Elephas maximus indicus: one gene and its partner. The protein of the gene in region 2 interacts with the protein of the main gene of each other region in a pairwise test. Links are inferred from orthologs where the notes say so. Each region holds a gene or a part of one and is shown on either strand. Other genes may lie near its edges.

What was found.
Region 1: the proteins of ZNF277 (region 2) and GNGT1 interact in a two-hybrid assay, tested with the Homo sapiens proteins (3 studies listed by BioGRID and IntAct). The two-hybrid records come from large-scale screens. The link is inferred for Elephas maximus indicus from reciprocal best matches to the Homo sapiens genes ZNF277 and GNGT1.

What each region holds. Positions count from the first base shown.
Region 1 is NC_064826.1:63,850,211-63,854,126, forward strand, and holds the start of GNGT1 (guanine nucleotide-binding protein G(T) subunit gamma-T1), read left to right. Parts: upstream 1-1,023; 5' UTR 1,024-1,099; intron 1,100-1,190; 5' UTR 1,191-1,200; coding exon 1,201-1,296; intron 1,297-3,916. UniProt on the Homo sapiens protein: Guanine nucleotide-binding proteins (G proteins) are involved as a modulator or transducer in various transmembrane signaling systems.
Region 2 is NC_064826.1:37,506,719-37,510,634, forward strand, and holds the start of ZNF277 (zinc finger protein 277), read right to left. Parts: upstream 2,737-3,916; 5' UTR 2,691-2,736; coding exon 2,600-2,690; intron 1-2,599. Other genes in the region: DOCK4 (dedicator of cytokinesis protein 4), read left to right, coding at 3,288-3,324. UniProt on the Homo sapiens protein: Probable transcription factor. Involved in modulation of cellular senescence; represses transcription of the tumor suppressor gene INK4A/ARF, perhaps acting via the Polycomb group (PcG) complex PRC1.

The DNA of each region.
Region 1 (3,916 bases), about 26 Mb from region 2:
AATATTATTAAACATTGTGAATCTCAGCATTTCCGAACTGAGAAAACATTTGTTATAAGGTAGGGTTAGGTAACATGTCTTGGTTTCTAAGCCTGGGTTAATATTTATGACATAGGTGAAGTGTCTTTATCAATACTTCCTGATTCTCTTCTATATACCAAATAATATGTAGAATGATAGGCAATGCTAAGGGTGTAAAAGTTGTGAAACATGTGGCCTTTTTTGTAAAACCTCTTACAATCCACTTCGTCTTAAGTTGGGCTCCCGAGAAGCAGAGGCTAAGACAGGAATTCTTGTGCAAGTGACTTATTAAGGGAGAGCTCTCACTATGTCGCCTTTAACCTGCTACATTTGTCATTGTTATTATCCAATTCATTGTGATAAAAAACCAAAAATACAAAAACCGTTGCCTTTGAGTTGATTCCAGCTCATAGTGACCCTATAGGACAGGGTAGAGCTACCCCATAGGGTTTCCAAGGAGCCCTTGGGGGGTTCAAACTGCCAACCTTTTAGTTAGCAGCCATAGCTCTTAACCACTACACCACTAGTGTTACAGAAAATTTCCAGGTATTGTTTGTAGAAACACTTCTAAGCAATACATTAGTTTATTTCCTATTATCAAAGTTCTTTACTATATTTCTATTCTCGTTTCACATTTCAATCCATTATTTGTAATGAACTTATAATGATACTTTTTATATGGTTCCCTGTTAATACCAGGTTAAATACTTTAGGGATTTAGGGGATTAATAGGCAGTCCTCAAAATGACCTCAAAATAATTGAACTGGCATAAATTATATGATGGAGGGCTTTGGGGTTAGAGATGAAGGTTAGAGACCCAAATTTTTACACTGTGCTGAAGACCAGGCCAAAGAGGAATTTTGGGTATTTAAGATTGTGTACTGACTAAACTGACCCCTCCCCACAAACCTACTGGCAGGTGTTCAGGATCAAATGCTTGGTTTAATCATATTATTAAAGATTAAAAAGACACTTTAAATTCCCCAGGCTAGTGTGCAGTGCTAGGATTGTTCAGAGAGCGTTCATGAGAAATCGATTATATCATAGGAATTTAAAAACAGAGAAACAGTTTACTTAGTAAGTCAAGAGATAAGGGAAGGGTTGGCTGATATTGACTCAAAGTAAGCCCAGCAATTCAGAAATATGCGTTAACATTCCACCTTTTTAGCAGGTGAAAGATGCCAGTGATCAATATCGAGGACCTGACGGAAAAGGACAAATTGCAGATGGAAGTTGATCAGCTCAAGAAAGAAGTAACACTGGAAAGAATGCTGGTAAGGTGCTGATATCTTTTGAATTTTATTTTAAATTAGAGAGACTGTGGGAGTCCCAGGTTAGATAACAGTAAATTGAGAGGTTCAACGTAGGGAAAATAAATTGTTCAGGCAAAAGTTCATTTGGATTAAGAAAATTAAGAATCAGAATGATCTCAATTTAGACTCTAAATCAAGTGGTCAGCAAACCATTACCCTCAGGCCAAATCCAGCTCTTAGCTTGTGTTTGCTTGACTACTTAGTTAAGTAAGAATGGTTTTACATTTTTAAAGATGTGCTAAAAAATGGAATAAACAAAAGACTATGAGGCAAAGACCATATTTTAGCTAAGCAATAAAATAAAGCAAAGCATTTAGGCATTCTGTTTTTACTTTTCTATATTTATCAGCTTCTCTTTATTTAATGCAATACTTTGATAATGTTCAAATACTTTTACCTATGCCCTCATCCTCCCCAGCATTGTCATGGCCAGTAATGAATGAGTACATCCTATTCTTCCTTTGAACATAAACAGCACTCCCTGGTTCCTCCTAAAAACATCTGACGACCTTGGAAACGGTTACCAACAGTTCTCTGCTGTTTAGAGGGAGCAGAGACTGCAAAGAAATGAAAATTTCCACCAGACAAATAGTGACTGGAGCTTGGAAAATGTAGATAAGTGCTTTGGGTCTCTTCATTTTAAGAAAGTGGAAAAAGGTTCCTCGGTAAGTGATAAAGTCATGTTTCATAACTTTAAAAAATAGCCTCACTTTATCAGGTCAAAATGAAAAAAGGAGTTCGTGTTATCTCTAGACTTTGTTCAAAACTCTTACTCCCAATCATAATTGGGATTTCTGGCTTTCTTTAAGTTTATAATTGTCTCAAACTTCCCTTCTATCCTTTCTATTTAGACTGAGGCAAAAACATGTTTTGCTGTAAAGATAAAAAATAAATCTGTAAACAGCACAAGAGCCGAGAACACGCATACACCAAAAAAAGTTAAAGTCCTCATCAGATGAAAAAAAAAGCCTTTTAGAGTAAAAACGACAAACAAAATCCGCTGCCTGTTCACTCGATTAGCAACCCTATAGGACAAAGCAGAACTGCCCCATAGAGTTTCCAAGGAGCGCCTGGTGGATTTTAACTTCCAGCCTTTTGGTTAGCAGACATAGCTCTTATCTGCTGTGCCACCAGGGTTTCCTTTTAAAGAAGAGTTGTTTTTATCTTCTTTTCTTGAAACATTGAGAAGTTGTTTTATTATTTATACACTCAGGATTGTTGTTTTTCAGGCAGTTTGGTTGTTGTCTTGTTTATTTTAACTTGCGGTAAGTCTACCTCGGAATTTTTCTTTTGGGCAAACATCACATCACCATCTGTCAGGCTGTTGGGTTCCTTTTCTCCATTACTCAGCTGCTACCTGGCTTTTGGAAATCCAACTAATTTTAATATTGGACTACAAAAGCTATAATTAAGGAAACTGAGTTACGTAATCAATGTATATTGAGCTCTGACTAAAGGCTCAAAGTGAGATAAATGTAAGAGGGCCCCAAAGCTACAGGTAAGAAATGTTACAGTTCATTCCAAAGTCAAATAGACATTGTCCGATACTCAACTACATGTCTTAGGAGTCTAAGGAGAGTACCACTGCTCCCAACTATAACATGAGAATGTGAATAATGATTGACTCTGGGGAAGAAAAAGGCAGACAATCCAAATGGCTTTATGCCAACATTGAATGGAAGCAGAGTGACAGGGTGGAAGCACACAGCTCATCCCAGGGTGTTCTCCAGTGTGTGACTGCCAGCAAGTGACCTCACATTTCAGTGGGATAGCAATTTAGCCTCTGTTTCTGGCATATAGGTAAGGCCAAAACAGCCAGCATCTGGAACAGTTTGGGAGGAAAGGAGTGAATCTAAAGTACTGCACATCTCAAAGTGTGGATAAACCTGAAAGTTTCATAATAAGAAGGATCCACATGACCAATGTTTCCTTGGCCTACAAAAAAAAAAACAACACACAAACCTATTGCCCTTGCGTCAATTCCAACTCATAGCAACCCTAAAGGACAGAGTAGAACTGTCCCCAAGGCTGTAAATCTTTACGGAAACAGACTACCACATCTTTCTCTGGTGGTGCGGTTTATGGGTTCAACCACCAACCTTTGGGTTAGCAGCCCAGTACTTTAACCACCAGGTCTCCTTGATGAGTGAAGAGAAGCTCATAAACAAATTAAAAAGCTCGGTTCAGATATTTATTTATTAAGAACCACCTACATGCAGGCTCTGATCCAGAGGCCAGGGATAAATCAGCCAAAGGCCCCCGATTCCTTAGAGCTGAACTTGTAACATTAGCTCATTGTCATGGTCAATCATTTTACAGGAATTTAAAATAAAATTGCATATGCACACTTTTTAGAATCCAGGAGTGGTAATAAGCCTGAAGAAAAGCTTGCACATATAATCTAGAAAAAGAAAATGGATTTCAGAAGATATTTGCTGGAGCTGACCCTTTGAGAAATTATGTAAATTCTCTCATGCTCAGTTTCGTCATCTATAAAATTAGTCTAGTAATAATGTATTTGAAAATGTGAGTTTTAGAGAGAAGATATATAATACATGCACGATAAAAACATTTACCTACT
Region 2 (3,916 bases):
GCCTCAGGAAGTGGGCAACACAGTGGTCTTGGCGAAGGTGCTGCACCTGCCTGCCCACTGCCCAGGGGCTCATTCTAGCAGAGATCTTGGAGAATTCCAAGGATTTATATAAAAAAGGCTCCCTAGTCTCCTCTGCCACCGGATATTAAACACACGGATTGACATTTTAATTAGGAATAGAGGAAAACCTCTTAAAAAGACAGTTCTCAAGAAATTAAAAAGGTATGATTTTACAGGGAAAGACACTGGACTTGATAACCTAAGCAGCTTCCTAACTCTCTTATACGTATACATATGTACGTACATGCTTTTAATATAATTATTACCATCTAAAATTTATCATACTTTGCGAGCTCTGAAAAGAATTTCCATAAAGTCATAGAATGATAAATAGGTTATTAAGGGGGATTTCAAATTACAACTTTACGTTTTAAGAACCAGCTGCTATGGAGTTGATTCTGACTCACGGCAACCCCATCAATTAGCAAGCTTTCCGCTGGTTGCTACAAGTCAGTGTCAATATGGAGAAGTTCTGATCCAGGCAGAGGCCTTTATCTTTTATGTCAGATACTCCAAATTCTCTCTTGCTCAAATAATTTTGTTGAAACAAACTGGAATTTAAAGTTAAGTTTTTTCTATCAGTTATTCAATTCAATCTGATAGCCATTTAAGCACTGGTTCTGAATTCATAATATCCTCACAGTTGGTGAGGCTATGGGGAAGAGGGCACTCTTGTACACTACTGGTGGGAATGTATACTGATACCTCTTAAGAGGAAAATCTAGCATCTATCAAAATTTTAAATGTGCATCACCTCTGACTCGGCAATTCCTCCTCAAGAAACACACACTCACTAGGCAAGGATATGTATAGAGCTGTTCACTGCAACGTCTTTGAAAAATCAAAGTCAACCTATATGATTGTTAATAGAGGAATGGTTAAAGTAGGGCACATTCGTATCATGGAATACAATGGGTGCAGTCCTTAAAAAGAATGTAACAGCAATGGTATTAATATGAAAGAGCGTTTATGATAGATTATTGAGAAAAAGGGGAAGGTTGGAGATCCTTAAACTTACAGAGGATGATCCCTTTTTATTAAAAAAAAAAAAAAATCAAACCAGACAAATGCATGTCATAGAGAAGTATGTCAGAAAGGATACACATCAAACCTTTAACACTTGTTATTTGGGGAGTGGGACTATGTGGTGGAGAAACTTTGAGTTTTTACTTTACATACCTCTGAAAGGTTTGAAATGTTTATAATGAAAACTTTTATACTTTTAAAATAATCAATGCTTTAAAAAATGTTCTACAATGTTTCTGAAAGGCATATCCAATTTTCTTTTTTATGAGTAAATCTGTGAGATAAATTCATCAGACTTTATTTCTAGATCTTAAACTACTAGCCCGCCAGAACTTCCAGAATCTTGAAAATCTTAATAGTTCATTTTGTTACTATGGGATAACAAATACATGGCTAACAGAAATGGGTACCAAAGAACTCAATAATTGTCTAGGATATGGATATAATTCAATATTTAACTCAGGTGTCTTATCGAAGATTTACATCTTTGATGGAGTTATTGAAAAAAAATTATTTCAGAGCTAAAGAGTCCCACTGATGGGAAGAGGGGAGAAATTGCACTTAATTCTCTGTGGTGCGGGAAATAAAATTTAAGGCTAATTGTCAGTGTAACCAGAAAGCAAAAACGAAGAGACGAACAAAGAAACCTCAACAGGAACTGAAAACCAGATTTAAGCCCCCAACTTTGTCCATCAGAAAAAGACAACTTGTGCTAAATGACACATATACTAATGGCAAAAACGGAGGGGGGCGGCGACAGACTACAGGTAAAAAGACAATCCAAGTGCAGGTTTCAAAGTTTGGTGTTGGATCTCCACAGTGACAAATGGCTCAGAGTATAATGTGAATATCAGATACAGAAAAGTACCTGTGATGATTTTCATAACCCTTTTCAAATTTTCTCTGAAGCCAAGAGCACAAATTACCACTTCCTTTCCTCCTCCTCTAAGGATCTAGCCTGGGAAGATGTCCCAGGCTCCACAGTCAATTCTGGAAAACAGTCAATGGGCGGAGGAGAGAGCCTGAGACACACACTTTCCCTTCTGAGGCCGCTATAGCCAGCAGCGGGACAAAACTGCAGAGCGGCGAGCAGAGCCACCAGTCGGCTACTGGAAACCCACCCAAACTCAAATCAAACACACCTCCCAAGGCCAAACCAAGGCGAAGGCGGGATACTGGCAAGGAAAAAAAGGAAAAGGAGCTGCTAATCTCAGGGCTATAATCACACACACGTGAGCCTGACCTGACCACAACCATTCAAGAGACAACGCAAAGCGGGGAGCTCCGAACAGGAAGACTGAAGTCCGGAAAACTTCCCTGGCTGTGCAGAAGGCCAACCCATCCCCTTTCCTCCGTCCCCCCGCCGCCCCAGCACTGCCACTCTCGCCGGGCCCCCTAGCGCCCAGGTGGCCTCGGAGCCGGTGGGCCCCGGGGTCGGACCAGCGAACGGCTGCACTCCCGGTTAGGGGGAAAGGAATAAAAACCAGTCACACCCCAGGGGCACCAAACTCACCCTGAAAACCAACATCCTCGACTCCGCTGTGGCTGCCATTGCCGCCCTCCTCCCCTCCGGCAGCAGCCCCCTGGGTCTCGGGAGCAGCCATTACCCAGCCGAGAAGAAACGGGAGGCCTACGGCCCGGGGAGGGGCATGCGGGGACCAATGGAAACGCAGCCGAAGGCGAACTCGCCATTAACGCAGCCTTACCTCCGCGCCCAAGCGGCGCCGTCACGCTCTGAGCCAATAGGACGCGGCGAGAGGAACCTAATTCCCGCCCCTAGCTACCCAAGCCACGCCCCTTTCCGGGATGGAGCCCGAGGACTACAATTCCCAGCGTGCCTCGGGGCGCGAGGATGGGCGGGCTGGACAAGGCGCTGGCGGGCGGGGTGAGCCCGAGAGTGCCCCGGCGTGTTCCCTTAGTTCAGTGAATCAGAACAATGACTGCGCCGCCGGGTTCTGGAGAACGCGTCCGACGACTGTGAGCAGCCGCTGCCGGGAGCGCGGCGGGCGGCGCAGACTCAGCGGCGCGGTGTCAACGCCTGGCTCGGGAGCCTCCAGCGCAGACCCTGCCCAGCGCCCGCCACCCGCGCGGAGCCGACGGGCTCTAGCGCTGCAGCCGCTACCCGGGTGCGGTGCATTGTTGTGAGCAGGAGACGGGGCGAGGGGAGTACAAAGCCTGAAGACCCCGGAGCCCCTTTAGCCATGTGGATACCTACGGAGCACGAGAAATACGGCGTGGGTGAGTCTCCGCGGGGCCAACTTTTATCCCTCTCTGGCTCAAGCGGGTGCGCATTTCGCGTCCTTGTCCCCGCGCCGCTCTTGCGCCGCGCGGCTGGAAATGCTTAGTCTTGGCATCGCGCAGCAGGTCCAGGGTTTGTCGAGCCAGCCCCGGGCAGGGGTGCCTCGTCCGGCCGTCCGTCCGCCCGTCCGCCCGGCGAGCTCCGCACCTCTCCCGGAGCGCCGGGACGGCTGGGAGCGCGCGGCCACCCGCCGGCTCCCGGCTCTGTCTGCGGAGTTTGGAGTGGCGGCGGGGCGTGTGCGTGTCAAGTTGGAAGGAGGGCGAACGGCACTCCTCTCCTTCTTCCCCAAAGCGGCGGGGAGACGGCAGTGGGCTGCAGAGATTTCCCAGGGTGGGGAGGGAGACGACAATAACCGGGCGGAGAGAACAACCCCAAATAGAAGGGAGGCGCACAACCGTCCCTCAGGCTCGCGTCAACATTCCCAGATTGCCGAATGTGGCACAGTCCTCAAAGAGCTGCTGACAGACCGAACCCGGTCCGAGCCTCAGTCTTGCCTCCCACCCGGATTTTATGGGGTGTGTTTTGGGAGGG